Drosophila melanogaster: one gene and its partners. Changing the gene in region 4 together with the main gene of any one other region gives a genetic interaction. Each region holds a gene or a part of one and is shown on either strand. Other genes may lie near its edges.

What was found.
Region 1: of Crtc (region 4) and CrebB, changing one suppresses a phenotype caused by changing the other (phenotypic suppression), as found in Drosophila melanogaster (one study listed by BioGRID).
Region 2: of Crtc (region 4) and Sik2, changing one suppresses a phenotype caused by changing the other (phenotypic suppression), as found in Drosophila melanogaster (one study listed by BioGRID).
Region 3: of Crtc (region 4) and Akt, changing one enhances a phenotype caused by changing the other (phenotypic enhancement), as found in Drosophila melanogaster (one study listed by BioGRID).

The regions. Positions count from the first base shown.
Region 1 is NC_004354.4:18,368,877-18,377,552, reverse strand, and holds CrebB (Cyclic-AMP response element binding protein B), read right to left. Parts: upstream 6,570-8,676; 5' UTR 6,371-6,569; exon of another isoform or gene 5,947-6,370; intron 5,523-5,946; 5' UTR 5,421-5,522; coding exon 5,121-5,420; intron 4,520-5,120; coding exon 4,340-4,519; intron 4,267-4,339; coding exon 4,098-4,266; coding exon of another isoform or gene 3,856-4,097; exon of another isoform or gene 3,457-3,855; intron 2,305-3,456; coding exon 2,167-2,304; intron 1,711-2,166; coding exon 1,502-1,710; 3' UTR 736-1,501; downstream 1-735. UniProt on the Drosophila melanogaster protein: Isoform E is a PKA-dependent transcriptional activator. Isoform J is a direct antagonist of activation by isoform E in cell culture.
Region 2 is NC_004354.4:2,055,263-2,064,192, reverse strand, and holds Sik2 (Salt-inducible kinase 2), read left to right. Parts: upstream 1-2,277; 5' UTR 2,278-2,571; intron 2,572-3,348; 5' UTR 3,349-3,479; coding exon 3,480-4,094; intron 4,095-4,164; coding exon 4,165-4,228; intron 4,229-4,431; coding exon 4,432-4,718; intron 4,719-4,774; coding exon 4,775-5,872; intron 5,873-5,927; coding exon 5,928-6,209; intron 6,210-6,269; coding exon 6,270-6,364; intron 6,365-6,425; coding exon 6,426-8,073; exon of another isoform or gene 8,074-8,082; intron 8,083-8,136; exon of another isoform or gene 8,137-8,167; coding exon 8,168-8,275; 3' UTR 8,276-8,883; downstream 8,884-8,930. Other genes in the region: CG4281 (uncharacterized protein), read left to right, coding at 1-1,246, 1,302-1,458.
Region 3 is NT_033777.3:16,096,732-16,105,655, forward strand, and holds the start of Akt (Akt kinase), read left to right. Parts: upstream 1-2,496; 5' UTR 2,497-2,929; intron 2,930-4,028; exon of another isoform or gene 4,029-4,048; intron 4,049-4,168; 5' UTR 4,169-4,212; coding exon of another isoform or gene 4,213-4,455; coding exon 4,456-4,995; intron 4,996-5,063; coding exon 5,064-5,261; intron 5,262-5,326; coding exon 5,327-5,716; intron 5,717-5,779; coding exon 5,780-6,013; intron 6,014-6,081; coding exon 6,082-6,228; intron 6,229-6,299; coding exon 6,300-6,383; 3' UTR 6,384-8,924. Other genes in the region: Mhcl (myosin heavy chain-like), read right to left, coding at 1-342, 405-857. UniProt on the Drosophila melanogaster protein: Serine/threonine kinase involved in various developmental processes. During early embryogenesis, acts as a survival protein. During mid-embryogenesis, phosphorylates and activates trh, a transcription factor required for tracheal cell fate determination.
Region 4 is NT_037436.4:17,665,658-17,671,147, reverse strand, and holds the start of Crtc (CREB-regulated transcription coactivator), read left to right. Parts: upstream 1-1,913; 5' UTR 1,914-3,041; intron 3,042-5,490.

The DNA of each region.
Region 1 (8,676 bases), on a different chromosome or scaffold from region 4:
TGACAATAAAAATATTTTTATTTACTTTGTTGAATGCAACTTTTGTTGGTTTCATTTGCCCTTTTTTCAGCGTTCCCCCTTCTCTGACTTGGCCAAAAAAAGCTGATCTCCTCCAAACTTCGCCCTTCGTTTTTGTTTTTGCTTGTGTTTCGGTTTTTTTTAGATTTCTTTTTGTTTACTCTGCTTTCCATTTTTTTTTCTCGGAAATTTGGATTCGGACATCAAAAATAGAGCGATATACAATACAGGGTTTTCTTATGGTTTCATTTCCGTTTCCGGTGCTTCATTTCGACATTGTTTCCGTTGCGCTATGCTAGATAAAAAAGTTCGATCTCTGTACCCGAATTCATCATTAATTTATCGTATTTGTCCGTCCCTTCGTCTCTTTTCTACCATTTCATAACAACAACTGAGTCGATCACAAGAGATAACGAGAGTGTTTGCCATCTATATATATATATATATATATATATAAATAGATATATAGATATAGATATATAAATCTGTAGCCACGCGTGTGTTCCGGCCAAGATCGTTCCCTTTCGATTCCGAACTGGATTCACGGTAGCGTGCAGAATTGTCTGCTTAACCAGGTTCTTTGGGAGCGGAGAGGGTTCGTTTAAAATTACGTAACAAAGTGTTTGAATATTTAACTCCATGCCCAAATCCCAGACAATCAATTCATCCATTCGATTTAAGACTAATTCTACAGATACACATTGGCCGGCACACACGCATATATACATACTACACGCACACGCATATGTAAATCAAGTGAAACTAGCGACTTTTGAACAATTTTAATTTGGTAGGCCCAGAAAACCCATCTAGAAAGGACTCTGGTGGATTGGGCAACCTGCTGGTTGACTATATCCTGACATATGGGCACACAACAACAATTCGCTAAGAAAAAACACTTTCGCTAGACACGCACGTTCTGCTGCATCGATTACGAATTAGGTAAAACAAAAAATTTAATTACAATAGGTAAGGTAAGGTAAGGTAAGGTGTGCATGCGGGGGGGTGTGGTGAAAGGTCTTAGGTTACGGAAACACATGTTCGTAGGTAAACTGCAGTATCGTTAAGTTAGCGAGTAAACTAGGGCATAAACTAAATCGTAAACATAATATTACATCTTTAAATTACAAACATAATTACATTGTGTGTCCGGCAGATAGACCCTCTGTCCCTTCCATCCGGTTCGGTTCGATTAGGTTTGGTCCGGTTCGGCCCGTCTGCATCCCAACAACAACAACAACACGATCCCCACAGTTAATGTACACGCTACCACATGCAGCATCCCATGCGTATAGAAATCATGATATGCGACCGGCCAGCGGCAAGGATCGATCCACCATTGTTGTCCAGAACAGAACGGAATAGAACAGAGCGGAGCGAAGCGCAGTGATCGCCGTAACCGTAACCGTAACCGTTGCCGTAGCCGTAACCGTAGCCGTAACTGGAGGCGGAGGCGCAGGCGGCGCCAGAGCCCCGCCCACATTCAATCGTTCTTGGTCTGACAGTAGAGCTCCTTGAGCGACTTCAGCTCCTCGATGAGCGCTTTGTTTTGGTTCTCTAGCACCGCCACTCGATTCTCCAGGCACTTGATGTACTCCTTCTTCTTGCGCCGGCACTCACGCGCCGCCTCCCTGTTCTTCTGCAGCCGGATCTCGCGCTTACGGGTCTGATCCTCCGCTATCCCGCTGTTGTCTGCAAAAGGAAAAAGTTTTCAAGGATTGGATAATCAGTCATTCAGCTGGCTGTAAGCGATGTGTGTGTGCACATCTCCCAAAGCGGAACTCTCTGTAACTCGAACTGAACTGGATTTCATAGTCATTGATGGTTTGGATTTGGTTTCACTTCGATGTCAACACAAATTGCATGCAAAAATGATTGAACACACCATCCATGTTCAACTAAACAATTTGAATAAAAACGAAAATAATGCCAGCATGGAATGGAGCATTATCAAAGTTATCAATTACAATCATTTGAGTCCATATGCTGCAGTTAGGCGATGAAGCAGTTCCATGGACGCTGATTCATCGCCTACATTCAGCTCGATAACTCGATAACTTCAATTTGATAGACCCTCGATTCCAGTTCGATTTACGAGTGGTCCTGCCAAGTCGCAACTAAAGGCTAGTTTTGGAGCGAGGCTATTACTGGTGTTGTAGGACATCCGATTGGACAGGTAGTACGTGGGATCCAATTGCATCAGGGAGCTGTTCGCCGCATTGCCCCCCGCTCCGGTCCCCGCCAGCTGGGAATTGAGCACGCCGTCGGACATGGGAAGCGATGCGCCTGGGATGGGGTTCGATTCGATTTGATTCGAGTTCGATTCCGATTCGAGTTCGGTTTGGGGTTTTGATTGTCGTTTGTTGTTGTTGTTGTTGCAGTTGTTGTTCAGAACATTATCGAATTTTATATATCGTTTTTTTATTTTTGTGGGTTGGGTGGAGGAAGGCGTTCGAAAAGAAAACAATGAAAAAAAAACAACAATAAAAAAATTATAAGAAAACATATTTTCCATTTTTCAGTTTTCAATTGGAAGCTTTTGAAAATTCGGATTGGTTTTTTTTTGTTGGTTGGTTTATGAACTTGAGTGGTGTGTGCGAGCGAGAACGGCGAGCGAGCGAGCGAGATAGGTAGATTGGTTAGTCAAAGAGAGTGGAGAAAAGCTTTTGATTAACGGTTAAAGTACTGTTAGGTGAGACGTTTGCTTGTACTTCTTCATTACTATTTAATATTTGGCATAATGGGTTGTGTGTGTAACAACGGCAACAACAACAACAACAGCGATTACAGCAACAACAACGACAGAGAGGCGGCGAAAGAGAGAGAGAGGGGAGGGCGATAGAGAGAGAGATAGAGAATTGTGGGCAAGAAGACAGCAGCAATAGTTCAAATGCTTAAATTATTGTAAATATTAATCATTATTCTTGCTGTCTTCCCTCCCTGTCTATGTACATATGTGTGAGTGTGTGTGTGAGTTGGTGAAGTTGTGCGCGAGTGTGTGTGTGTGCGAGTGAGAGGTTTATTTACAGGGGAGAATTGGAAAATCGTGGAATCTCTACAACGCGTCCTCTTTTTCTGCTCCTTCTCGGGCCAAGTTTTCCGGCCTTTTGTTTTTCTTTCATTATTTTCACTTCGTTAAAGCAACACCAACAACAACATCAACTAAATGATAATGGGGGTGGTGGAAAGGGGCGGGGTTCCCGCTTGTACGGCTGCCCTAAATGGCATTCCTAATGATGTACAAAGGACAAGGCTGGCAGTCCTTCACAATCTATGTGTTGTATGTACAAATACAGTTGAGATCCAAACAAAAACACAATGTTAGCTAACTGGGTTCCATTAGTTTCTACCTCTTTCCTCTGTTTCATTATATTTTTAAGAAACTATGTAAGAAAATAAACAACCCTCTATTCTGTTCTGGTTGAAAATAATAGTTTCAAATGGAAAGCTTCGGAAATGTATATTTAATGCTTTTTTTTTATTCTGTCCACATTTTCGTTACTTTTTAGCTGGGCAAGGTTTTGGCTAGAGAATCTTATTGCACTAGGAGAACCATATATTGCTTTATAAACAATAGCAACGTAATGAATGTTGCAAATGTTTTCCTTTTGTATATTTACAATATAGATTTCATAAGGATCCAGTGAGCAACTTGGACCTTAGACTTTTCTGATAAAATTGTAAATGCACTTTTTGTGGCAAGAGTATAATTTTACAGTACATTCCTCTCGTCTAATCATTTCGATATGGATCATTTGCTAAAGCGCACTACAACGAGTGTTAACAGTGTTACTTAGCCAACAGCTACTGTACAAGATGAACGGGAAAGGTGATCGATCATGGGGTTACAAACACTGAGAATGGAATGGTGTCTGATGGACTGACCGATTCCCCAGCGTTATGAGAGTTGCTGGGAATGGTCGAAAGATTGCCAGGCGCAAGTGCATCGTGAAATGAACGATGAGTGGCGATCAGCTCGACGATGCATTGGATTGTTAGGCGATGTGGTGGTTTAAAGAGCGACAGAGATGTGTTCGAGTGGGTGTGTGACTGGTGGAGAGATCGTCCCCCGGATTTACCGCTCATGTCCGGACCGCTGATCTCGGTGAAGATCTTATTGTACGACGGCCGTCGCGTCAGCTCGCTGCGGTGGTGCTGGGAATCGTCGTCCGACAGACTCTCGTCGCTGTCCTCCGGGTGCTGCGTGTTCGGTTCGGGCTTGATCTTACACGGAAAGGTTGGAGGGATCTGTGTGCGAGGTGATCGAGTTCATTAGTAGAGTTCGGTTCGGCGGGTGCTCCGTGCTCCCCGTTCTACGCACTTTGTTACGCACTTGCACTGCATTGCCAGGCGTCGTGTGGATGACCGTCGAGTTCGGCGGCTTGGCCACGTAGACCACCTTCTGCATCGCTGTGGCGGCGGCCAGCGCCTGTTGCTGCTGCTGGGTTCCAGCTGCTGTCTGTATGACTCCCGAGGGATTGGCCTGTATCACGGACTGCACCTGCGGATATAGAAGGTCACTACATTAGAAACGCTCGCGGTCAGGGTTATTGGCCTCAACGGGACTGACATAGTAAGTTTTGTAGGCTGTAGTGTAACTAACAAACACCGCAAATTCTCGATATTCTAATGAATAAAATTAAAAGTCCTGTGAATGTGTAAGTGTAGTCGACATCCTAATAACAGCTATATGGTCTATATCAATTTTTGTGAAGCTTAACTATAAAGATTTATTATATGTATTATGTAGTCCATATAGTCATACCCCATTTAATATATACATTGGTAAACGAAATCGATTTTAGGGATGTAGAATAAGAAACGTATTGAAATGATTGAAAAATGATGGATGCATAATCTATGCAGTAAACTTTATAAAACTTTATAATAAACAGTATTGTACTTGTTTGTTTGCTATTAGTTAAAGAACACTAAGCTGCCTTATTTCCGGTAATAACTATCCCTATCTACACTCAGTTCCCATACCAAAGGAGGCTTTGAAGTGCTTCTGCACTAACATCCTTGGTAGCCACTTCTGGCTGGGATCCGTAACACCTGACACTCGACAGTTGACACCAAGCACCCGGTCCCCAAATGCTCACCTGCAGTCCGTGCTGCGCCAGCGTCTGGATGGGGTATTGTATGTTGCAGTTGGCGGTGGTGGTCAGCACGGAGGACACTCCGCCTCCCTGGGCGTTGTTCGTCGCACCCGTTGGACCGCCGGCCGTTGTACTTTGTGGGTTCTGTTGCTGCTGCTGGGGGTTACCACCGCCGCCGCCTCCTCCTCCTCCACCGCCGCCGCCCACCGCTGCCGCCGCCTGTTGGGCAACGACATCGACCACGTCATTGGAGCCCGATGCCGCCGACGAGTTGCCGTTCTCCTCGACGATGCTGTTGTCCATGTTGCCGATCCTGGCGATCTTCAGCAGCACCGAGACGCTCTCCGACAAGTGCTTCAGTTTGGCTACCGTTTCCGCTTCAATTTGGCCAGCTTGAAGACGTTTCTACAATTGGATTGGATTGGATTGCTTTTGGATTACGCTGTCAGTTTTACGGTTTATCAATTTGTCATCCAGTTTGTGATACCGATTCAGATCGGAATCCGTTTCAGTTTAAGTTTCAATTTCTGTTTCTGGGCGGGATTGGCATGGGCTCGTTTTTGTTTTGGGCCGATGACGAGTGTGCGTTGTGATGACGATGATTATATTGTGGCTGTGGTGCCGATTGCTGACTGATGGAACTCAAGTTCCCCCAAAGGAAAACAACAACAACAGCAACAATAACAACAACACCGAGTCGTGAGTATTTCGGTTGAATGACGTCATGACAACGTTGCGCGCGCTTGTGTGCGTGTGCGTTTGTGTGTGTGCCAAGAGGCAACAAAAAAAACAGAAAAACACACAGCACACAGCGAAAAAATCAACTTACTTTCTGATGACATCACTAAAAACGTTGCTGCTGAGAGGCTTTTGTTGTTGTTGCCGTTGCTCACTCTCTCTCTCTCTCACTCCTTCCTGGGCGCGTGTGTGTGTGTGTACGCGCGTTGCACGCTGCGCTGGCAACTTGTTGAAAAGTCGCGGTGTCCAACCAAATAAATATTTATGTATAAAGCAGCAGAGTAAGCGAATCGAAGTTCGAACCCTAAAACTTCAGATACGTTTCGAATGGCATCGCGCAAAGGTTTCGTATTTGTTTGCTCTTTTTGGGAGAACCCCACAGAACACACACGCACACTTAAGCACAGCAGCGAATTGGTGCGACAAGTTGGCAGCACGCACACACACAACACTCTCTCGCTCTCTCTCTCTCCCGTTCTCGCTCGCTCTCACTGCCTGTTGTTATCGTTGCTTACGTTCTTTTTTCTATTTGCAGCACCGAAACGCGTTTCTTTTGGCGGCAAAGACGCTGGCTTGGCGGCTTTCGAACGACAATGTACGCGTTTTCCACGGCAATGCGATCGTGCGCAGCGATTTATTGATAAAGACCGTTTTTGCGCAAAAATCGTTCGCTTATTGCTGGCTCGCTCGCCTAGTGATGTAAAATAACATCGATGCATCCAACAGCGATGTTTTGGGGCGATGTGTTTCGATGTTTTGCTTGATATCGATGTCACACATCGGCTGTTTCACAGAAAACTGCTCGATAAAGTGTGACCCTGGCTGCGGAATGAGCAACAAGCTACAGCAACAATAAGGCTCCACACTACCACACCGGTTGAAACCTTGGCTAAGCTCGTGGTGCGGAGCTTGGCTATAACTGCGGGAACTTTTAAAACTTCATTTTGTTATGGTTTTTTTTTTAAGTTTTTAATACTTAGATGAAGGTTGTAAATCAATTTTCCTCGGTTTTATTTATTCATCTACAAGTATGTAAATTATTTCAACTTCATATCTCTATTTTCCATTTGTAACCGAAATTAATTCCAAGTCCATTGTTGGCCGTTTAATGAATCACTAATTGTATTGTTATTCTATTAATTCAACAAAAAGAGGTGTTCAGTAGCACTAAAAACTAACAATTAGCAATCGCAAAATAATTACTTTTTCATAATAGTTTATAGAACCGCAGATTTTAGCGCGCCTAAAAACTAGAAACTTTGGTCACAGAAAAAAATTGTTGCTCTTTTTTTTATTTCGCTACCACTAAAAACAGCCTGCTCACATAAGTGCAAAAAACAATTAGCCTAAATGATGTTCGCGGCTAATTACTTTACAGCCGAATAACTATTGGCTACATGAGCTGGCCATGACGTCATCGCGAGAAAACTAGCCGGAAAGTTTGAGGCGTAAAAACCTTAAAGCCTTAAAAACAGACTCGAGATTATTTGAAGCCTGCAACGGGCTCTCAATAAATAGTTAATTAGTGCAATGACTGTGCCCCCGTTTACTTTCCCTCTGTGAATTATAATTTCCAATTCCATTTGCATTATTTAGGCTGCTTTTTCAATCGACTTCCCTTTGAGTGACATAATAATTGCCATTAATTACGACGTCGCACGAACCCTCAAACGCCTCCAAGCCCCTTCGCCACCCACCACCCATCACCCAGCACCCACCTCACCCCTCCCCCTTGTGGACCCCAAATGCCGGACTGTCTGAACCACCGACCTCGTGGACTGACTCACTGTCCAAATCCGCATTACCTCCGCGCGCCAGCTGACATCACTGGCTAATGAAGTTTGCCCGGTGGCCGCAGAAAGGAATTGCAAATGCGGTTCCCATATTACACTTCTAATACACTTATATACATATATACATACATATGTACATATGTACATACATATGTACTGAGTACACCTGCGGTCAGCACAATAGCCGTTGAGAGCCCGACCATAAATTGGCTGAAATATGCGGCTTGTGTTTTGGCTGTTAAAACGGACTTGCATACCAAAATACACACCGCCTACACAGAAAGAAATTAAGATCGATTTCCATTTGAAGTTTTGCTTGTACTACGGTCAATTCAATTCAATTCAATTCAATTCAAAATGTATCACAATAATTTAAACCCAACTTTAAAATTTCATATATTAATTCAAACTATAAACACCATAACCAAAGCTGTTAATTTTAAGTTATTATTGCTTCATCAATAAAAATAGTTTTTCAAGTTATTAATTTTAAAATAATAATAAGCAAAAAAAGGGCAATTTGCCTAACTATAGTTAAGGTAATAAAGAATGTCGTTTCTATTAACTTTATCTTGCGTGAATAGTTGCTTAAATATTAATATTTGGCAAACCGCTTTTTCTTGCTCTTGAGATAAAATCAGAAATCTAAACAAGAAACGGTTAAAAAAAACTTAAAAAATTCCCCAATAAAAAGTTAGAATAGAATTTCGATATACTGAGAAACCAATAAAAACACCTTCATTTGCGAAGCTATAAACATATAAATATCGCTCATACGACAGGTTGGCTGTAACGCGTTTGCTTGCAAGCCAAAAGTGCACGAGTGTAACGAGATAATGATTGTCGAAACTATTATCCTTCAAAGGATGAGGGTGCTTAAGCTGCGGTGTTGTTTCATTACAAATAGTTGTTGCTTTTCGACATTAGCAGAAAGCTCAGCGTTGTTGCTGTTGCATTTCAATCAATTCCAATCAGTTTGCATTTTGCATTTTGCTTTTGGCATTCGATTTGCTCTGGCCGCACCCCGA
Region 2 (8,930 bases), on a different chromosome or scaffold from region 4:
ACGTAGAGCAACCACAGCACCAGCAGCAGAGGATGCGCCCCCGCAGCTACTCCTCCACATCGAAGCCACTCAGTGACCGCCTGCTTCCACTGAACAAGGGACTGCTGTCGAAGATCAACCGAATGGCTGCCCAGGGACAGCAGACTAAGCACACCCAAAAGACTGAGACAAAGGACAAGGACTTGAAATGTCATCGTTCTGAAGGACCCGAAGGAGTGAGCCTGGAGATGGAGGAGCTGCCCGATCAAAAGGACGCGGTCCAGAAGCTACCTTTGCCAAGTGCTGATTTTACGACCGCCAATTTTAACTCCATCAGCATGGACACCATTGTGCCTGTGACCGATATTGATGCCTTGTTATTGAGTACGCCACCAGCTGCTCCGCTGCTGCGCAAAAAGGCGCAGGGGCAGGCGCCGGGACACAGCAGCAGTAGCTCATCCAAAACGGAACGTCGCCGCCGCTTCCAAACGTTTCCACAGCCTCAGCTGCAGCTCCAAGCTCAGTCAATGGATTGTAGCGAACTTTATGACTTCTTAAGCTCTAGTTCCCTGAGCTCGTCCACCGATAGCGAGGCGGAAGTAGGTGGTCATCGACGGCACGACACCGATCGCGAGGGCGACGATGAACTCACCGACTGGCCGGGAAACGAATTCGGACCCGGAGCCAGATACGATCCAAAAAGGAAGCTTACAAAAAAATCACTACTGCCTCAAATTCGCTCGGATGACACAATTGGAGAAGATGACACTCTTATGTCTGGCACCGAAGCGGGAGCGGTGGGTATGGAACCGCCTTCGAAGTCTCCAGTCCAACTTCCAGAATCTCTTCAGGATCTTTCCCGCTTCCAACCAGCCGGCGTCTCCGAGCCTATCGAGATTCAGAATGCCTGCTCAGAGATGGAAACAAATGCAGATGGCACCATGCCGGCTTCCCGCCAAATCGAGAGTGAGATGTCCGGCGAAACCTCTAATCCGTTTCTTTCCTCGTCGCCTCCTGGACACGCCCAGGGACAGGAAGTACGTGAGATACGAGCAGGGTGTCGCCGCATCAATGGCGAGCGTCCAGGATTCAGCATCAAGATGAGCGTCAATGAGCGCATCGCCCGATTTTTGCAGGATTCGCAACAGACACAGATCCGTTTGCCGGATATAGAGCTTTATGAGACCGATAGCATGAGTAATCTGGCCACGCTCTATTCACTTACCATGGTGGTAGAGCACGGATGTACAGTGCTCACCAAAACCGGGTAAGGATAAAGGGATACTTATTCAAAGTCTATAACTAAGTTGTTGCTCTTCCAGGAACACTACGCAGACGGTGAGCATGGATCATCTTCAACAAGGTCTGCAGCCGCGTGCAGATCTCTTTGGCGATTTTAAGCGGCGCTGCTACGGTGAGGAGGGAGAGGAGGAAGGAGAGCAGCAGCAGCCGCTTCAGCAAGATCCCGGCCAGATTTAGCCCCAGAAAGCAACACTATAATCCAAACAAGACCAATCCCTAGCAAATGCAAACGTACAGCCATCAGCACTCGAGGTGAAACTCTTGGCATACGCTTGCATTTCTAGGGTGGAAGAAACCCTTAATCTATGAATGCTTTTAGCTTGTTTTTGTGAAATCTGTTCCATGTACATAAGTTGCATCGGTCCGTGTATATACTAACTGACTTCGTTAGGGAATGGCGCCAGCAAGACGGATACCGGATCCCAGATCCCGTCGGTTTGGGCTCACGCTTGGAAGCGAGCGAGATGACACGTTTCAGAGACAGAGAGAGAGGACCGACCGAAAGCCGTCGGCAGCCGTTCCACTGTACAAAATATTTAATGTAAGACCTTCAGCGAATATGAATATAAGAAATATATATGTGTGGTCATATCCGGAATACATGTGGACTTCATTTTTACCTAGAATGTGGTGGATATTTTATATAAAAGAGCAACATCCCAATACAAATCAGTAGCAAAAGTATATCTGAGTATATCTGAAAAAAATTTGAAAATAGTTCAAACTCTTTCTGTTAGTTGTACCGGTCACTGTCTATCTGAAAGCTGAATCGGTGAAACGGGTTATATTGCATACTGTTTTACGATCAAAGGGCGCGAAATTCAAATGAATTCCATCAAACTTCCCACCCTCGCGAAAAAGTTGGCGCATGCTCGATGCTCGGCACTTGGCGCTCACTTGGCAACCCTCATGTGTGTGCTGGTGAGGGTCGGAAATTGAGGGGCGAGTGGGTGGAATGGGGCAGACAGCGCCGAGCTTGCGTCAAATACGGACGCCAGTTGGACGCAGCTCGGGATTGGAGGCAGCCACGTTTCCTAGCCATCTGCCGTGTGTGTCGCAGCGACTGTGTCTGTGTGTGCCGTGCTGTGCTGTTCCGAGCCGCATGTGTGGCGCTCCGCGGACGCGATGTAAAGCGGATCCTCGCCAGCGTTTATCCTCTCATAGCCAGTAACCGGATTCGGATTAAGCTGGCCCAGCCTGTAGCCTATTCTCAGTTTTTGCCACCGCTCCTGCTCGAAACTTCTTTGTCAACCGGCGAGGCTTGTGCTTTTAACGCTTTCACCAATAACGGTATTTTTGGGGAGAGCAGCTTTAAGGGGAAATCTCCTGGCAGTGGTTCTGAATCGGTTGCACTGCATCCTGAAGGAAACAACAGTGGCCACTGGCACCGCGGAGCATTTCCACGATGCGATGCGGTTGCTCTGCTTATTGATTTTTCACCAACACTCACCCACACACATACACTCGCACGCTGGCACCCACACACTTTCAGCCGCACACACAGTCAGTGCTGGCACCTCGGCCATTTTGTGGCTGGAAAAAAAGCCATTTTGAAAGCGGAAGTGCAGCGTCAGCCATTTTCGTTGAATGTCTTCCTTTTGGTGGGCACTAACAAATGGATCTGCATGTCTTTGAGGACCTCAGCTAATGGTTTTTAAAATATTTGTCTGTACCTGGTGCGCATATGCGATATGCGAGTGAAATAACACTATTATTATCGTGATAGATTAAATTTAAACGTGAATCCAGTTTACCATTGCAATTGAACTGTGGCAACACTGCCTGAGAAAGAGAGGGAGAGTGCAGCTTTGGTGGCTTGTGGAGTCCGCGTCCGAAAGCCATACACATACACACTCGGAAAGCCGAGGTAATCTCTTATCAAGCGACGACTGCCCACCCCTTCTCCGGAGTCATCCCGTTCTTTATTGCACTTACATATTTTCTATGCACATATATGTACATGGGGAACACACAACATTAGTCGCACATCCATTCAAAAAGTTTCAGTTCATTATTGTATTGTAATTCTACCCAAAATATACCACTCTACTTTTTCTATTCCCGCAGAAGCGCTGTCATGAGACAGGAGGTGTGTGTGAGCATGTGCATCACCATCTCGCTGTCGATCGCGATCTCCCACTCCCTCCGCCTCGCGCTCTCCGTGTGAGATTTCCCGCCCAGGGTGGCGCAGTTGGAAAATGAGCACGTGCGAGGCGGCGGCCGCTGGCGAGAATGGGAGCCAGGCCAAGTCCGAGGAGAGCCAGCCGCCGGAGGATCAGAAGAAGAAGCAGCCGCAGCATGAGAGGAACGAGAAGCAGCTGGATAAGCCGCCGGAGAATTTGCCCCAAAACGGGAAAACCGAAGCAAAAGGAGCAGAAGGAGCGTGTTCACACCCCCCACTGGATGCCCTCCGGAGCTCAGTGCTCCTGGATGCCGGTGCTGCTTCGCCCTCGATAGACGCAATAGTGGCTTGCAAGGATGCACTGCTCGCCCAGAAGCTCTTTGCCAGCGGGGGTGGCTCCACGCCCGGTCCCAGTCCCACATCCTCTGCGGTGGGCGCGGGCGGTATCAGTGGCAAGGACCTGCTCAAACTCAAGGAGCCCATGCGCGTGGGCTTCTACGACATCGAGCGCACCATTGGCAAGGGAAATTTTGCAGTGGTCAAGCTGGCCCGGCATCGAATCACCAAGAACGAGGTGGCTATCAAGATCATTGACAAGTCGCAGCTGGACCAGACAAACCTACAGAAAGTCTACCGCGAAGTGGAGATCATGAAGCGCCTGAAGCACCCTCACATCATTAAGCTCTACCAGGTCAGCAGAATTTGCTGTGGCAGATCCTGCCAAGAATCGTATTCCTAATCCCGTTCTACCAATCCCACAGGTTATGGAGACCAAGAATATGATCTACATAGTGTCGGAGTATGCCAGCCAAGGAGAGATCTTCGGTGGGTTGAGGCTTCATTTTAAAAAAAATTTTTTAAACTCGGACTGTAGAGTACAGTACTCGATTTAGTTAGCAGACTTTTGAACCCACATTGCGCACAGACTTGTTGACCTTTGGACGAACAACACTAGCTTTAAATCTCTCGCATTCTCTTAAGTTGATAAGGGTTTCAATGAGATGGACTTACCTTTATATTTTATCCAGATTACATTGCCAAGTACGGGCGGATGTCCGAGTCGGCGGCGCGCTTTAAGTTCTGGCAGATCATATCGGCGGTGGAGTACTGTCACAAGAAGGGCATAGTGCATCGGGATCTCAAGGCGGAGAACCTGCTCCTGGATTTGAACATGAACATCAAAATAGCGGATTTCGGGTTCTCCAATCACTTCAAGCCGGGAGAATTACTGGCCACCTGGTGCGGATCACCGCCGTACGCAGCTCCCGAGGTTTTCGAGGGAAAGCAATATACGGGTCCAGAGATTGATATTTGGGTAAGTGGTGCGAAGTATACGTGTCAATTTATCCAAAAATGTATAATTTCCTGCAGTCACTGGGCGTCGTGCTTTATGTGCTGGTATGTGGGGCCCTGCCCTTCGACGGATCCACGCTGCAGAGCCTCCGGGATCGGGTGCTTTCCGGTCGCTTTCGCATTCCGTTTTTTATGAGCTCCGAGTGCGAGCACCTCATTCGCCGGATGCTGGTACTGGAGCCCACAAGGCGGTACACCATCGACCAAATCAAACGCCATCGCTGGATGTGCCCCGAGCTGCTGGAGCACGTCCTGATAGCCAAGTACAATCTGGGCGCCGAGCGGCAGACGTCCGTGGAACCCAGCGAGGACATTCTTCGCATCATGGCCGAGTATGTCGGCATTGGGTCGGACAAGACGCGAGCCAGTCTTAAGAAGAACACTTACGACCATGTCGCGGCCATATATCTGCTCCTGCAGGATCGAGTTAGCCACAAGAAGGAGCAGAGCAACGGCTTAGGCGCCAGCGCCCTTGCCTCGTCGACCTCCGCCAGTCGGATGATCTACAGCTCCAGAAATGACCACCAACCGACGCAGCAACAATCGCAGCAGCAGTCCAAGACAATATCCACCAGCTCGATCCTGGCCAAGGATCAGTGCCACAAAAGACTTAGCCGCCATCAGACGGTACTCATGAGTGAGCGTAACGCCCACGCCGGCGCGACACCCACAGTTCCAGATCCCGGTCCCGGATACTACGCCAAGTATGGCCCACTGCAACTGCCACTGCCTCTGACGGGCCACTCCCACCTGACTGGGTATCTGAATGGAGGAGGCGTCGAGGTGGATGCCAGCGGCATTCCGCTGCCCATGCGGTACACCCCGCTGCCGACAGCCGCGTCGCCCGCTCCCTCTAACTGCTCATCCACATCCTCGAGGGTAGGACGACACAGTCTAAGCTCCAGCTCGCCGCGAAGCCATCGACCGGTGGCCATTTCGCTCAGCATCGACAACAACCCCTCGCTGGCCAACCTGCGGTGCAGGGAGATGATGGAGGCTGGAGGAGGACCCGTTGGAGCAGTGGGTGTGCCTCTAGCGTCCAAGCAGCTTCATCAGACCATCAGCGAGTTCATCATCAAACAGAGCACCGAAGACTGTCGTGCGCTGCTGCAGCAGGTGAGTTTTCGGCTGATTCTATCCCAAGTTATTTCTATCCTTATACTTTCGGCAGTCCACAGCAGTGGCTGAGGGTAAAGATGATCCGCCAAAGGCGGAATCAAGCGTAGGAGGCGTTCCTCCGCCCGCCTCTACCACACCCACATCCAGTACAGCGGGACCGGAATCGGGATCGGCTCCCTGCCCTGGTGAGATTAACGGCAAGACAATAAAGACTATGTCCAGCTCGAGCAGCTTCGATTCTAAGGCCAATTTGGGCCAAAGCTTTCGCTACAAGATGTCCGCCGAGGCCAGCAAGCTTTTCCAGACTCTCCAGGAAAGCCCACTGCCCGTGGAGGTGAGTGATACGTGTGAGTTAATAATTGCTTCCAGCTGACAAATTCCATTTCCTCTCCAGCAAAGGACTAAGCGTCGTGTGCACGTGGGCAGCACCAATGGCAGCGGCGGTGACTCCGGCCAGGAAACGAATGATGCGAAATCGAATGGCGACAGGTGAGTCTTGCAGTCACAGCGATAGTTTCTTGACTAATGTCGTTTTCTTCCGTTTCCGCAGCCGCTCGGAGAAGAAAGTTCTGGCCCAAGGCAGCTCCAGCACAGATGAGGGCTGCGAGACAGACCAGGGCAACGATCCGGGCTCTGCTTCCCAGGAGTCAAAGGGCAGCAATGGCGGCGGTAGCGGTAACGCCAACGGCGGACCCACCTCGCACTCCAGCAGCGATCTGACGCGGCTCGTTGGAACCACTACCTCTGGACAGAGTCACAAGATGCGCTCGTATGCCAGTAGTAGCTCGTCCAGTGGCGTTCTCGCCGGGAGCGCTGGTAGCTACTCCAAAAGTCTGAGCCAGAACCTGAGCCGCGGCTCGTCCAAGAGCAATTGCAGCGGTCCCTACGATAGCTTGGACTTTGCCTTGCCTTCTGGCAAGGGCAGTCTACCCTCGTGCATGGGCTCAAGTTCGATGCTGGCCACGCCCACTCCGGCCTCGGCATCGCCAGCGGGAATCTCATCGGAGCATTCATCGGAAAGATCGCTGTACGGGAGCCACAACTCCTGCATCCATATGCCAGGAGCTCTGCCGTTGGGCTTGGGCCTTCCTCAGAGTTCAGCCTCCACGCCCACGCCGAATCCTACGCCTCCGCCAAATGGCGGTGGTGTCACGTTCCTGGACAAGCGTTCACCCATACACTTTCGCGAAGGAAGACGGGCGAGTGATGGCCTGGTGGCCCAGGGCCTGCTTAGCTCTGGTTCCTTGCTGGGCACCAGTCGTGTGTACGGAAGTTATCGCTACGAGCAGGCCAAGCGTCACGGTTGGCTGGAGATCCAGCAGCTGCAGCAGCTGCAGCAGGAGGCGGCTGTGGGGCATTCACACCCACATGCCCATCAACATCCGCATCAGCATCCGCATCCTCATCCCCAAGCGTACGGCTTGGAAGAACTCTGTCAATTTCCAAATGGTCAATTCTATGCTCTGCCGGGCAAGCATCATCCGCTGCTGACTTTGCCCCATCATCATGCGCATCCTGCGCAGCATCACCATGGCCATCATTCGCTGTTCCATTCAGGCCACCAAGCCACACCTCTGCTCCTGGAAGCCGCTGCTGGTGGGGATATGTATGGTCATGGATGCTATGCTCCGCCACCGCCGCCACCAGGGCTATACACGCACCATCAGTTGGGCGTGGGTATGGCCGTGCCCATGTCCCCGATGCAAAAGCCACCGCTGCAGCAGCAGCTACTGCAGCACCGCCTGCTTCAGCAGAAGCGTCAGTTGTTCCAGAAGCAGTACGCACTGGAGGCGCAGCTAGCCGGTCGACATCACCACCATCAGCAGCACAGCCATCACCACCATCACCACTTTGGCCACAGCCTGGGTCCGCCACCGCCGCCGGCTCCGGCTCCGGAACATCACCTGGCCGACGAGTTGTACGAGTTGGCCTTGCTTGATCGGCCCAGGAGCGGAACTCCTAGGCTTCAGCACTCCATGACCATGCCCGGAGCTCATGCCTTCAGTCAGATGAACCTCAAGACTTCCTACATCAGCCAATCGGACCAGGTGCCTGGTGCGGCGCCTAATGGAGCTGGTTCCGGAGGATCAGCTGCTGGGGTATCATGCTCAGCTCCACCGTCCACGGCGCCGGGTACGCCCACGGTCAAGTGCAAGCCTACCACGCCCCACGGTCACAGCCTGGACTCCGACTATCATGTAAGTAAGCTAGATAACGCATATTAAGATGATTTCTCAGGCATCCCAAGTTCGTATATAAACCTTATCCGTTTTCTCCTTGTGTCCTCCGCAGACATCGACGCCGGTGCTCAGCCTTTTCACGCCCAATTGGCAGTCGCTGGTAAAGCCGCTCAGCGAGAGCCCCATCCTGGAGATATCGGAGCACCTTGAGTCAGTCTGAGGCCGTGTGTGATGTTATTCGGTGGAGGGGTTGGGGCAATTCGAATGGGAGTAGATTTGTAAGTGGAAGTCGGTGGGAAAGGAAAAGGGGTAGGACTGGACATCGAACTATAATGGGGGCTGGACCGGGACCGGGGCCACCTTTTTATTAAGCTCGCAATCGCAATTATGAATTATTTGATCCATATACGATATACACCCATACATACATATAAATAGCCTATATAGATATGAATGCGGGTCGGAATCGGAATCGGAGTTACATCGATTCACGTTTATTGGAACCGATAGAATCATTACCGAACCGGGCGAAGCAGTAATATTGAATGATTTAGTTGTGTTACTAGTCTTAAGTAGTCCAAGTTTCGTACGCATATACGCAGACATATACAATATGTATATTGATAATAATAGCGTTAAGCTATAGCTCTACTTATGATTACACTATACACTATTGTATTGCCCCCACGACAGTGGACGAGAACAACGTAACTACATATATCAATTATTCGAAGCATTTATTGGGGGCATAGAAAGGGCGTATCCATATAAGGATATATCTATTATGTATTGGTACAATAATTAGCGACAAGCAAAGAAAAAAAAAACAAAATTTAAACAAACATCGATTGTTCTTAAACATGGAATTCAAATGT
Region 3 (8,924 bases), on a different chromosome or scaffold from region 4:
GTTGCCCTGGGGTAAAGCTCCATAGCGGGCGTTGGCCGGCAGGGTCATGGCCCGTTGTTGACCTCCTGTCTGCTCTCCATCGCTGCGCAGGCTCTCCACGGAAGTGAACGAGGTTCCATGCTGACTGGAGTTCGAGCCGATCGAACCAGCTCCCCTGGCAGCTCCCTCGTAAAGGGATTCATTCTGAAAGGTGTTGCGCAATAGCATCTCTGGCGTGCCACCTGCTCCTCCGGCACTACCCGCAAAGCTAATCTCCTCGTGGACATTGGTCATATTACTGCGGGAGCCTTTCAGAATGCCACGCTTGGGTGGTTTTGGGGGTATAGGTGGAAGAAAGCGATTCTGGAATGTGGAAGCAAAGTTTTTCAATACGATTTCGGATAAGAAAACGACAAAGACCTCACCTTGAGCCCTCCAGAGAGGAGAGAATGTGTGACCTCGCTGTAGTTGACACTCACGCCGGCGCCATTGGACGCTCGGCTCTCGATGTGCGTCATCACAGATGCTACAATCTCCTCATTGCCACGATCCTGCTCGGGATCTGCAGCTCCCACTGCTCCTCCGTTGCTTCCGCCGTTTGCATCTGCATTGAGGGCGGCAAAGAAGTCTGCGCTATAGTCCGCCGTAATTCCGCTCGGCAACTTTTCCTTCTCCTTGCGTCGCCCTCGGATTTTAAGCGATCGGCGCACCTCGTCCAGGCGGAGCAGCTCGTCGGTGCTCATGCTGCCGGTGACGCCAGTCACGCCTCCCATTCCCGGGCCACCAGAGGTGCCCTTAGCCTCTTTGCGCAGTTTTTTTTCGCGCTTGCGACGCTCCTTGTCCTCATCCCCAGCGCTCTTCTTCATAAAGTTGAACATCTTATGTGGTGTGTGGGGTCCTTAGGTGCTAGCTGCGGAAGGGGGGCGTTGGTGGGTTAATGCGAAGTTCAAGGGCGTGACCAAAAGTCTGGACTAATTCGATTTGCACTGTTCTCTTTGCTGCGCTCTATCCAGGGGTGGATCTAGACAAACGTGCAGGGCATACCGTTCATTTCCAAACTTGAAATTACAACTTACATTTTTAAAATCAGTAACACAATTTTAATTCACTGAATAGTTTAAAGTACGGTATTTATGTGATTTGATTTTACAAAAACATTTAAGGTGCCCATAATCCACGTTTAAGGTCCCCTGGATTTCGCCCCTGTACTGCTCAGTCCTGTTCTCTTCGTATTGCTATCTCGCTCTTACAATTGCACAGCCACTTCGAGCAATGCACCCGCCCGCACAACAACCGTTATCTTGCCACGGTGTTTGTGTGAATGTGCACATTTGCAAATCACATAAACAATGGCATATTTCTTCACTTTTGCACCCACATTTCTTCTGCTGCGGTGGCGGCTTTACTTTTGTCATTGAGTCGTTGCCATTTGCCCTGTTTCTGTTATTATTTATTATTCAATTATGCGCTTTCTTTTCCACAGCTAGCATACATTTGTTTTGTTTTCACACGGTAACACACACACACACAAAGAAAGGGGGGCTCGTGGCTGCGTTGGTATTGATTGCTCGAGACTGCACTCTTCCCTTCTCTCTACACCATCTCTTCATATTTTTCATTTCTCCAACTAATTGAATGCAACCGATTCTGCCTCATTACTTATGCTCATGCTTTTCCAATTGCTCATATTCGGCGAACGCTCTTATTCGGCCACAGCCCACAGTGATACACACGATAGGCAGAAAAAGAAAGTTGAGAGTCAATAACACCTTTGTTTTTGCACTTTTCTACGCCTTTTTTGATAACACACACAAACATTGGGAGGGACTCACGCACACACAGTCGCGCTGGAGTCGTTATTTGTTTATTTGAAAGTGGCATGCTATGTTCTCCCTTCCGATTGGGTTGCAAGTTATTTACCTCGTTTTGTGCCAATGGGGCACTTTATTCGCTACTCGTTTTTTGTTTTTTTTTCGGATTCAAAGGAGACTTCGCGTTCTGCATAAACAAATCTGAGCAAGAGTGCCCAAAGAGGTGAATATCAAATTTGATCTGGGAAACTGGAAAAGAGAACTGACTTTTTCTAGCTACTTACACATGGTCATACTTATCAGAGTATCTACTTAGTGCGGACAGGAACCATATATAAAATTGATAGGGCTTCCAAATTTTTGATCAATTATGCTTTGAAAAGTTATAACAATTTGTCGATATAAGAAATAGTTTTGTATACATAGCATATAAAATAAAGTTTTTAAAAATGAATTTAATAACAATACAGCATTATTATTAATCTGCAGTTCATACATTCAAATTTGAAGTGAATTCTAGTTAAAGAGTCGGCCTAGACAGTCAGAAAACAGAACTATTGCCTTCTAAAACATTTAATTTAAATTTAAGGGATATTTGCGCGTTGTACAGCTCTTAAATAATGTCTCTCTCTGGCATCTTTCCACCGTAACAGTCGCCTAACTATCGCTAAAACAGGTGGCAACGCGGATCGAATCAGTTATCGAGCCAGTTATCGAAAAAAAGTGAAGCGTAAAAACTAAACGGTACTTGGAAAATTTACTTTGCCTGTGTGCGTGCTTCTGTTTATGAAAACTACGTTTTTAAGCATTTGCAATTGATGCAACGTTGCTTTGGAAGGCAAGAAAACACCAAGTGGAAACGCCCGGGTGGCGGAAATCGACTTCCAGTGCGCGAGTGCGAGATTGTGTGTGTTTCGTTCCGTCCTCTGGTGTCTGGCACCTTAACACAACAACAACTACAGCAGCAGCAGCAACAACAACAATAGCAAGCAGCAACAACAACACACGCACAATAATAAGAAGGCCTGTGACGTTGTCGCTGCCGTCACCATCTAAAGGAAAATACCAAAACGAGTAGGAAAACAAACCGCAGTGCAGTAGGGAAAGCAAAAGTCGGGTTTTTTTTTTTACAAAACTAGGTGGGTTCTTGTATTTTTCACCAGCATTTCCACAATTTCCATTTCCACGAAGTGATTTGACATGTTGCGCTGCTAGGTCGCCGCTGCCCACACACACTCGCACACTCGGTGGTTCACTCACTCAGCCACTCACACCCACACGGCCAGACAATCACACGCACACGGCCAGACACTCACACATACACTCACACTCATACACCTTTGTGGCAGACACGCGTACTGTCTGTCTCCCTCCCCCTCGCACCCACAGTCTGGCCTCACTCGCACTTTGCAATGCAGCCCTGTCTGTGTGACTGCCTCGGTGTGCGAGCGCCTGTCCGCTTATGCCTGTGTGTGTATTTTGTCGATTTTTATTTTATGTACATTTGTTTACAGTTTTAGATAGATAGCGACATTTGTACAGCCGGCGGCCATCCGTCGTTGACATTTTCGCAAATTGTAAATGAATATGCTTTTGCTTTTGCAGTTGTGCCAGTGTGAGTGCGAGTACGAGTGCGAGTGCCGCCTGCGAGTCCCCTGTATGTGTACATATGTATATGTATGTATTATATATGCATATACATAAGTTCATGAACAGTCGCCGCCGTCGACTTGTTTTGATTTAATTTCGCGCTAAATGCAATCGCGAACAATTTTCACTCGTATCGCCGTGTCGCTGCGTAACATGGCGGGGAATTTCGTTTGAAGCCGAAAGTGGCAGCAACAACAAGGCGACGATGGCGCCTACATCTGCATGTGGGCCAGTGACTAAGAATCCAATCCCATACCATGCCACACCATACCAACCCATCCAATTCGATACAATCAGAATCACAGTCCTCAATCCAATTCAATCCCTTTCTGGCGACGGAAATGCCGCAAATGTTTTGCACCAGCTGCTGACGCAAGCGCCAACTGCATTTGTCATAAACATGCAAAATGACAATAACAATTGTTTACTATCAGCGTGAGATAGGCGATGTGGGAAGTATATATCTGGATAGACTTGGCAGCCTTTTAGTGTCTGTTTCCCCTTTTTTGATAGCTAGCTCATTTGGGAACTCCATTTGTCCACTTTGACTAGTTTATGTCGACAGTTGGCGGATCAGTTAATATCTAGTACATGTTGAATCCCTGAAGGTAAAGGTGTTACTAGACGAACCCTCTGCTAAAGCCTTTTTCTTTTCGTCGATCGCATTCTTAGTTTAAGTATTTCAAACTCAGCATGAATATAAAGGATTCACTGTACTCCTCTTACAGGTCCCTCATTAGCTTGTCCCTAGGGTTAGTGAAACAGCCTCAACACGAATTACCTACCGTTTGTTCTTCAGCGGCGATCGACTGTGGTTGCCAGCGCCCCAGCGCCAGGATCTGCCTCTAGGATCCCGGAATCGCCCACCACCACAGGGAGCAACATCATTAACATCATCTACAGCCAATCCACCCATCCAAACAGCAGCCCCACCAGCGGCAGTGCAGAGAAATTCAGCTGGCAGCAATCCTGGCCAAGCAGGACCTCCGCGGCCCCTACACACGATTCCGGAACCATGTCAATAAACACAACTTTCGACCTCAGCTCGCCCAGCGTTACATCGGGTCATGCGCTTACGGAACAGACTCAGGTCGTAAAGGAGGGGTGGCTGATGAAGAGGGGCGAGCACATAAAGAACTGGCGCCAGCGCTACTTCGTGCTCCACTCCGATGGAAGACTGATGGGTTACCGCAGCAAGCCGGCAGATAGTGCCAGCACGCCATCGGACTTCCTGCTCAACAACTTTACGGTGCGCGGCTGCCAGATCATGACCGTCGATCGGCCCAAGCCATTCACCTTCATCATCCGCGGCCTGCAATGGACCACGGTAATCGAAAGGACATTTGCCGTCGAATCAGAATTAGAGCGCCAGCAGTGGACGGAGGCCATTCGCAACGTATCCAGCCGGCTCATAGATGTGGGTGAGGTGGCTATGACGCCATCTGAACAGACAGACATGACAGACGTGGACATGGCCACCATTGCCGAGGACGAGCTTTCCGAGCAGTTCTCCGTACAGGGAACGACTTGTAATAGCAGCGGCGTTAAGAAAGTGGTAAGTACCACTCACCTGGTCATTGACCAAGGGCGTGATCGAGCTGACTCCATCTTATCTCCTTGTAGACTTTGGAGAATTTTGAGTTCCTCAAGGTGCTCGGCAAGGGCACCTTTGGTAAGGTTATTTTGTGTCGCGAGAAGGCTACCGCCAAGCTGTACGCGATCAAAATTCTTAAAAAGGAAGTTATTATCCAAAAGGACGAGGTGGCCCATACCCTGACCGAGAGTCGTGTGCTCAAGTCCACAAATCATCCGTTCCTCATTGTAAGTATTGCTAGTAATATATAATTTACGTTAAAAAACTAATATATGTCTTCCCTGTTTTGCAGTCACTCAAATATTCGTTTCAAACCAACGACCGCCTGTGTTTTGTGATGCAGTACGTGAACGGTGGCGAGCTCTTTTGGCATTTAAGCCACGAACGCATATTTACTGAGGATCGAACACGTTTCTATGGGGCAGAGATCATTTCTGCTCTGGGCTATCTGCATTCACAGGGCATAATTTATCGCGACTTAAAGCTGGAAAATCTTTTGCTGGACAAAGATGGTCACATAAAGGTCGCAGACTTCGGTCTGTGCAAGGAGGACATCACCTACGGCCGCACAACGAAAACCTTCTGCGGTACACCGGAATACCTAGCTCCGGAAGTATTAGATGACAATGATTATGGCCAAGCGGTGGACTGGTGGGGCACTGGCGTGGTCATGTACGAGATGGTGAGTTTGTTGCATCTGCAAATACTATTAACAAGTATTAAAAACAAAAATAATTCCTTACAGATCTGTGGTCGTCTTCCGTTTTACAATCGTGATCATGATGTGCTCTTTACATTGATTTTGGTGGAGGAGGTAAAATTCCCGCGTAATATCACAGATGAGGCGAAAAATCTGTTAGCAGGCCTTCTAGCTAAGGATCCCAAAAAGCGTTTGGGAGGTGGAAAGGATGATGTCAAGGAGATACAAGCACATCCATTCTTTGCGAGTATTAACTGGACAGATCTAGTGTTGAAAAAAGTAGGGCACAGTAAATCTGTCAGTTACCTATTCGTATATATTAATCGAATTTAAAATGCTTACCGTAGATACCGCCGCCTTTCAAGCCTCAGGTGACATCCGATACGGATACAAGGTACTTCGACAAGGAGTTTACGGGAGAGAGTGTGGAGTTGACGCCGCCGGATCCCACTGGCCCGTTGGGCTCCATAGCCGAAGAGCCGCTTTTCCCGCAGGTAAGATCTAGTTGAAAACATTTAAAGTGGGGTTCTGTATGCTCATCCAATTTTTGGTTTCACCGCCACAGTTCAGCTACCAAGGAGACATGGCCTCCACGTTGGGCACCTCGTCGCACATTAGTACTTCCACAAGTCTCGCATCGATGCAATAGAACAAGTTTACAAACTTTTACCAGCACACATCATGTTCTGCTTCATCACCTATTACTATACTATACCTATAACACATAGAAATGGGCAAAAGAAAACAACAGCAAGAATATATTAAATATTAATTATACCATGATAACGAAGGCAAGCAAAGGGTTTTCTTGCTAGTTTATATACACCAATAATAAGAGAATTGAATTGATAGTAACTTATTTTTGTATAATGAGAAAGGGAACGTTGAACGAAAGGGCAACAGCCGAAGCCGAGGAAAATAATTTACTACATATGATTATACACATATATATAAATATATATATATATATATATATAATTATATATACAACTAAATATAACACTTGGGGCATAGCGCTTGAAGTGATTAGTTAATTTTAAACGCAAGGAAAACATTTAACCAAGCGACTTAGAGCGACTTAGTGCTAGGATAAAGCATGCATCATCGGATCGCATCCTCTAGGGGTCGCTTAAGCTGATTGATTATACAGATTATTCACGCAGACAGCACTCACACAGCCACTTAGCATATAGCGAACATGAAGTTTAGTTAACTTGACAGCAACAAATCGAAATACACATATTCAACAACCGCCCCCACATGCAACACTCGTATATATAAATTATTTATACTCCAAAGAAGCAAAAAAGAAACAGAAACAATTACAAGTTATATATAATGTTAAAATTGCCTCTAATGTGCTGTGCTTTATGCAAAACTACAACAACAGAAACAAACAAACTAATAGTTAATAAACGAGGGAAACATACATCAATGCAGTTTATAGGCGCCAATAATTAGCAAGCAACTAAAAGTTATATTCAGGCAGAAACATATTTCGAAACAATAACGGCAACAGCAAAATGATTACAATTGACGCCATTTTTTATTATAATTTTTTACGAAAAATATATATTTGTAAATATTTATAAAAAAAAAGCAAAAACTCAAGAGTAAATGCAAAAAAAAAACAAAGGATGTATGTGTCGTGTGGAAAATGGAAGTCACCATTTGAGGCCACAGAAAAGGTTTAACCTTTGACACAATAAAAAATGTATCTTTGTCATTTCATTTTTGGCATTGAAAAGTTCATAACAAGTTTTGTATACTTAGAGCAAGTCAGCAAAAAATATATATAAATCAACCACAACAGACTTACAAATAGTTCCAAAAGGAAGATTAAAAATTATATAAACAGAAAAAAAACCTAAAAGAAAATAAAGAATTTTTGATATTTTTATATGCGCAATAAAAACAAAAATCAAGAATAAAACGAAACAAAAAGTTATTTTATATTTCGTAAAGAAAACAAAATAAATATTGTAAATAAAAATTATTAAATAAAATCAAGTTCGGGAATTTCAACTGAAAACAAAGAAATTGAAAGCATAATCTCTCTTCTAAATGTTAAACGAAACCTATCACTCGATGATTACAATAAACAGCAAATCGAAAACGAAGGGATATAGAAACGAAAAGAAAATGCCAAAGAAGCGGCGAAGTTAGGTGGAACTCGAGGAGAACCGAGAATTGAGGAGCCAGCAAGTCGGGATGTTTCGGTTGGAGTCTTGGACATGTGACGATGATGGTTCCAAATCATGACTAGGAACGAACTAACTAGCTAAAGCCAGCCTATGCTGAGGAGAGATATCAGATAGCTCCGATTGAACCAATCTTTATATCCTTGAACAGCTTAAAGTCCTTGCTTTCTGCTCACCAAGTTTGCGGCTGACATCTAGGCTAGCCAATATCAATCTCAGATCGATCAAGCAATACATAGACAAAATATAGAACCCCTAAGCATGGCTTAATAGACATACAACCCGAGAATCGACTTCAACAAGCCCAATAACCCTTCTGACAGACTCGTTAGGCAAGTCTGCCAGCCAAGGGGCAACCAGCTAGAAATCTAAAGCAAAGACTTAGAAATCGGTTAGGGACATCCGAAGCAAATTGAATACTAGCCTTAGTGAACGTCAACATCTCTGGTATCCCAAATCGAAGCATTTTCTACCCGTCGAAGGGGACGAAAGAGACCTTTCAAAATAGTTGTCTAAGTTTACTGAGTTGTGTGAGACAATTTTTGGTTTCGATTAAAAAAAAAAAAACAAAAACTTACACGAACTGCAAACTACAATGTGTTCTAAAGCGATATAATAAAACAACATGGTTTAAAATTGACTATATATAGAAAGAAACCGAGAGAGATATAACCAGTCAGATCATAGATCATCTCGAGCAACTTGAGTTGTTTTTTGTATTGTAAAATAGAAAAAGATAAACCCGTTCCAACAACCGAGATCCAGATCCAGATCCAGCCCCCAATACTAACCGAAAATTTGATTAGGAGTAATTTTTGATAGGCGAAAATGCGAGTTTCGCACAGTTTTAATTATTAATTATATTAAATAAAGATAATAATGACTAAGCTGATTTATAAAACGATTCAAGATCGAACTAAAACATACATATACATGCATTCAAACCAAGTTTATTATACAGTGAAAACATAATAATAAAACTACATAAA
Region 4 (5,490 bases):
TTCAATTAATTTACATTGTATTTTATCCCTAACTGGCATACTAAAATTTGAATTTAAGCTACCTATTATGATGGTTTCCTCATATTATATTTCATTTCATATCTATATCGTATACACTTTAATTAAATAAAATATGACTACCAATATATTATTTCCTCGAATCCAATGCTTCGAATTGTTCCTGAGAACCCCTAAATCGAAATTAACTTCAATTAAGTGTCCAAGCTCATTGGAAGAGCTTACCCACTCTTTATGCCATAAAACGTGCTGTAGGAAAATGTTTGGACAAAAAGCCCTAGTAAAGGCAGAGGAGAAATCGGCTTAAGCCCACCCACTGGCGCCCACTAATTCATTTCAATAATTGAGCACCTTTTCGTGGCTGTTTTTTATGGGAGGAAGTGGGCTAGTGGGCGCTCTATTAGTTTTGACATTCATTTGACAGTTTGATGAATGAATTAAGCGCACAAAGGGCGCAAATATTTATGAAAGAATTTGGAATAAATGCACGAAACGAATGGTAACAGAGAAGTTTAAGGAACAAGGAAAAAGGCAAAAAAGGGGCAAATATTTTGAATAGGAATGAAAGAAAAAAAACAGGAAATGTTCTGAGAGATTTCTATCGCTTGCACACAATTTACCTAGTACCTCCTACTTCTTCCAACTTCTCGGCCTTATTCTTGGCCCTCATTTTTATTTCTCCATTTCCTTGTCGGCCCTTAAATGTCTTCGTAACCCCGAGGCCGCCAATTTGCTACCAATTCCTGCTTCAAGTGTCTGCGAGAAGAAAAATTTTCTCCATTCGCGGGAACGAAAGAGAAAAAGAGAGCGTTTGGCAGATTCGTATCGTGGAAAACAATTTTAAATGGCGCACACAAAATGCCGGAAACCAGACACAAAATGTTAACGGAAAGGGAAACAGACGTTTACACACACACACAACAGACACCCGCACGCACACACGCGAACGCAAAAGCCCATTTGAATGTGTTGGTTGATGCAATTTAAGCGCCCAAAAACGAAATCCAAATCATTTTTGATGATTTATCTTAGCTTCTAATGGGCATATTAAATTGCATTTCATTTTATATGATTGCTCCGCTCATTTAATATGATGGATTAAGAACTTTTGAATTTAATATACATTAATTACGCTTGCAGAATAACTAATGCAACCACACAATTTGCTTTGTCAAAGTCAACAAAACGGAGAGTTTGAGACAGCATATTAATAATAAAATTTGTGTATGCCTTTTTAATGTAAGTTATTTATTTCCATGGAATACAACACATATAATAAATGTAAATTATATAATTACTATTTAATTATATCAAATCAATATTTATTTTTAAAATTCCGTTGCGAATCTAAATTAGCGGAGACACCATACCATATATTGGACTAAATGACAAGACACCTTACCAAGCGACTAAAAGTGAGGACTCGAACCGATTGCACGGCGATTAACATCGAAACCCAAGATATAATATTTTCAAAAATATATTTCCCTTTAAAAAAACAAACGTTCTGTTTATTCTGTAAATATATATACCTTACATACAAATGCAGTAATCTGATTAATACTGACAATTGATAATTAACTTATGTTACATATCATATTGGTTTAGCCCACTTTATCTTTCATCAGTAAAAAGTAAACTTTGATTAGTTGTTACGCTCTTAGCTGTATTTTTTATTTAATATGATGCACTTAAAAAATGACTTGAATATCATATACGTGCATTTAAATAAAGTAGAAATGACAGCCCTGGCTTTAAATATCTGGTGGAAATTCCCACACATCACCTGTTCGCTGTTCAGCAATGTATTTTGTCTCAACCAAATTCTGGCCACACTGCATGGCTGCCAATTTCAAACTCGATAGCCGATATCTTCCTAGTATCGGAGAACGATGGCCCCGATAGGTTCATACCAATACACCTCCTGATATCGAAGAAGCAGAGGAAAATATGAGAAAAAGTGGAAAAATAACAAAACAAACGTGGAAAAAACGTTGAAAAAGGCGACGCGCAATTGCTGTACAAGTGCACGACTAACACGCGATTAAAACGGCGTGCGAGGAAAAGCGGAAAAACCACAGAACAAAGCGAAAAAGTGAAGAGCCATCACAGCGACGAAGATGAGCGAAGAAGAAGAAGCAAGGCAGCAGCAGCAGCAATAATAAGTTGTTCTCTGTGCGAGTGAGAGAGTGCAGCAGAGCAAAATAGGGGCATAAAAAACGCGAAATAAACGAAAATAAGAATACGAGATTGCTGCGGAGTGAGTGTGCACAACAGTAGAAGTCCCGTTGCCCGCAAAAATCCACAGTCCCGCGTGTCAGTGTGTGTGCGCGCGTGTGTCCGTGTGTTGGTGAGCTTTTCCATTGGTGTGCGAAAAACAAAAGCCAAAAAATCGGGGCAAAGAATATATAGAAATCAAGGAAATGCAATATAGAATCGGCCGACGCCGCCGCTTTTGCTGCGTGCTGTAATCCCAATTGGACACCCAATTAGAGGCACACTCGTCCGCCTAGCAGTGTGTGTGTGCGTGTGTCTGTGTGAAAAGAGGTCAAAGGCGCAACGAAAGTTTTTCACTTTTCATGCGGTAACCAAAAAAATAGCGCAAAAAGTGCCAACCAGCTGAGAGCGCAAAATAAAAAAAAAACAACGTCGCAGTTTTGCGTTAAAACAATAAACCTCTCGAAGTGTGCGTGCGCGTGCGGCTGTGTGTGTGTGTGTAAGAGCGAGTAGAAATAACACAAAAAAAACAATCAGTTGTTAAAATAATCCCCCAGCAAACCGATTTTTGGATTTAACAACTCTCGGCTCGCAAACAACTCAAAATCAAATCTGGTTTTATTAAGCGACGCAAAAAACACAAAAAAATAACGCAAAAGGTCATAACAATAACAACAAATAAAAAGCGCCAAAAACTTAATTCTTCTATATGAGATTTTAATCAAGCAAGAATCCAATTTGCATAGCACAAGAGCGACAGAGAGAGCAAGAGATCCAATCGGAGTTAGCGGCGAACGAGAGAGAATGTAAGTTACGCCCTCGCCCGCCCCCTCTTTGCAGTTCGTTTTGTTTTTGCCGCCTCTTTGCTTCACACACGTTTCTGCAAATCGCTTTCCCCCTCCCTCTTAGTTTTCTTTTCAACTGTTGCGGTTGCGCCGCGCGATAAATAAACAAACATCGAAATTATTCAAAAATTCCAAGGAACGCGAGTGGCTATAAAAAAAACTGCTGATAAGGGTTTCCCAGGAGTGTCTCCCCGTGTCGAGGGGAGAATGATAATGGGAGAGAGATATGGAAGGATAAGTGGGGAGAAGAAGGAACAACGAGAGAACAAATGGGCCATTCACACTCAAAAATTGGCACGGAAAGAAAAAATAACTTACTTTTTGTTTCGAAATATGCTGACCAATATAATAATAATTCCATAAAATTATAACATTTTATTTTGAGACCTTTAATTGTGCTTAACAAGCCAAAGATATATTTCATTAAATACCATTATTTTTAAAGTTTTATGTTCGTAAATTAACAAAATTATAATTAATTTGTATTCAACGTGAATAAGTGGGGCTTTACAAAGTATAGTATTGTTTATCTGTTCTTATCAAAAAATTAACAAAATTATAATTCATTTGTATTCAACATGAATAAATGTGACTTTACAAATTATAGTATTTGTTTATCTGTTCTTATCGATTAAATATACAGCTGTTTTTTCCTGTGGTAAATGACCACCATTTTTATCGGCCGCAATATATTAAATAATTATTAAATGTCATTATCGATTCGTGGGAATATTTCCGCTTTGCCCAACAGCACCCCTCCCTTTGATTGCCTACCCCCTAAAAAAAAGTCCAGTCCCTCCCAAAAAGTAAAGTAATATCTACCTTTGTTTAGTTTGAGGCGTGCTCGGCCTTTTTATGGCCGCAATTGCCGGCTCGTCCAAAAGTGTGAGCCGCATTTAAATCTCTTTGCTCCTGCATCGCGTTTTAGCCATAATGGGCCTTACACTTCCGATATCTGCTTGGATTAGTCATCGCATAGGGTTCTACAGAGATATAGAGATGGTCACGAAGTGGGACTCATTTGAATGAGAATGGGGGTATCTCATTTGGATATTGATAAGCAAACTATGGGTACATTTTTATCCGTACAAGGATACATATACAACTTGAATAGCTGATTCTGAACTTTTCAGACGTTCTAAACGCCTTTCAAGTCACAAGTTTTCAAGAAATAACATGATTACTCAATATGTTTATTTCGCAAATAATTTAACGATTTGCCTTAAAGTAAAGTAAAAGACTAAACTTTCTGAGTATATCACTAAGCGAAGTTTTCGCACATAAAATAAATATGAAGTTACGATATATAAAATGAGTAAGCATTTAGCTGGAATTAACACGTCGACAACAACCAACCAACACTTGAGTATTTTCTTTGCAAAATATTTTAACTCAAACGTTAGTTCCAAGAATCCCCGGGCAAACAAATCAAAATGATAAATTAGAATTAAAGAGAAATCTGCGTTAAAAGTTATGCATTGGATACAGCTAAGGTATGGTTTCTCAATAAGGAATTACCTCAATCGATTTAATTGAGCCATTCTTTTCTCCGCCTAAAAGAGAAATCGATAAGGTTAAATTAGCTAATGGTGGAAACTAATGAGGTTTTGAAGAAGGGTAGGAGTTAATAAGTAATACTTGAGCAGTTGGGAATGTCTTGAGAAAGTACTAAATTTCCCAGCTTTTATAGCAATCAATGTGGTAGTGAGTAATGCCAGTGACATTCAAAAATATTTCCCGCAATTATGAGCAATTCAATTCAATTCGATAAAGTTAAAATCTCTGTAATCCTTATTTTATAAATATGTTGTCATTCCATTAAATTCAATTTGGCTGTTTCTTAACTAAGTATATTTACAATCTGCTTGGCAACAAATACTTTTCGATAAAATATCTGTAAATACGTTTTGATTCTCTCCGAATGATAAGGAGTAACTTTTGTTTTTAGCTCGCTGAGATTGTTTTTTGAGCTGTTATTGGTCACCAGTTCGCGAGTAGTATCATCATCATAATTGATCGGAACTCATCGAAAAGATGACAAAAGCTGCGAAACTGGTTTATGGTTTCAGTTTAGTCTAAACTCTAAACGAATCTACAAATATGTGGAGCATAATCTGAGCATCATATCGGATATTGGGAAAACGTGGCTAAAAGTTGTTTTTAAAAATGCCCTTCAGTTGTGAGCGCATATAAAAAGCAAAACAACAACGCTCTTGCGAGCTTCAACTTTGCACTGCCGCGGAACCGGAATAAATTATTGAAAAAAAAAGCAAAAAAGAAAGAGAAAGATTATTTCGTTTGCTACGCAATTCGCGACATTTGCATAATGCAGCTGCAGGTGGCGACGAAAGTCGGCCCGTCCCCCGATAAATGCCCCCATTCCATTCGTGGAGCCAAAGACTATACCCAA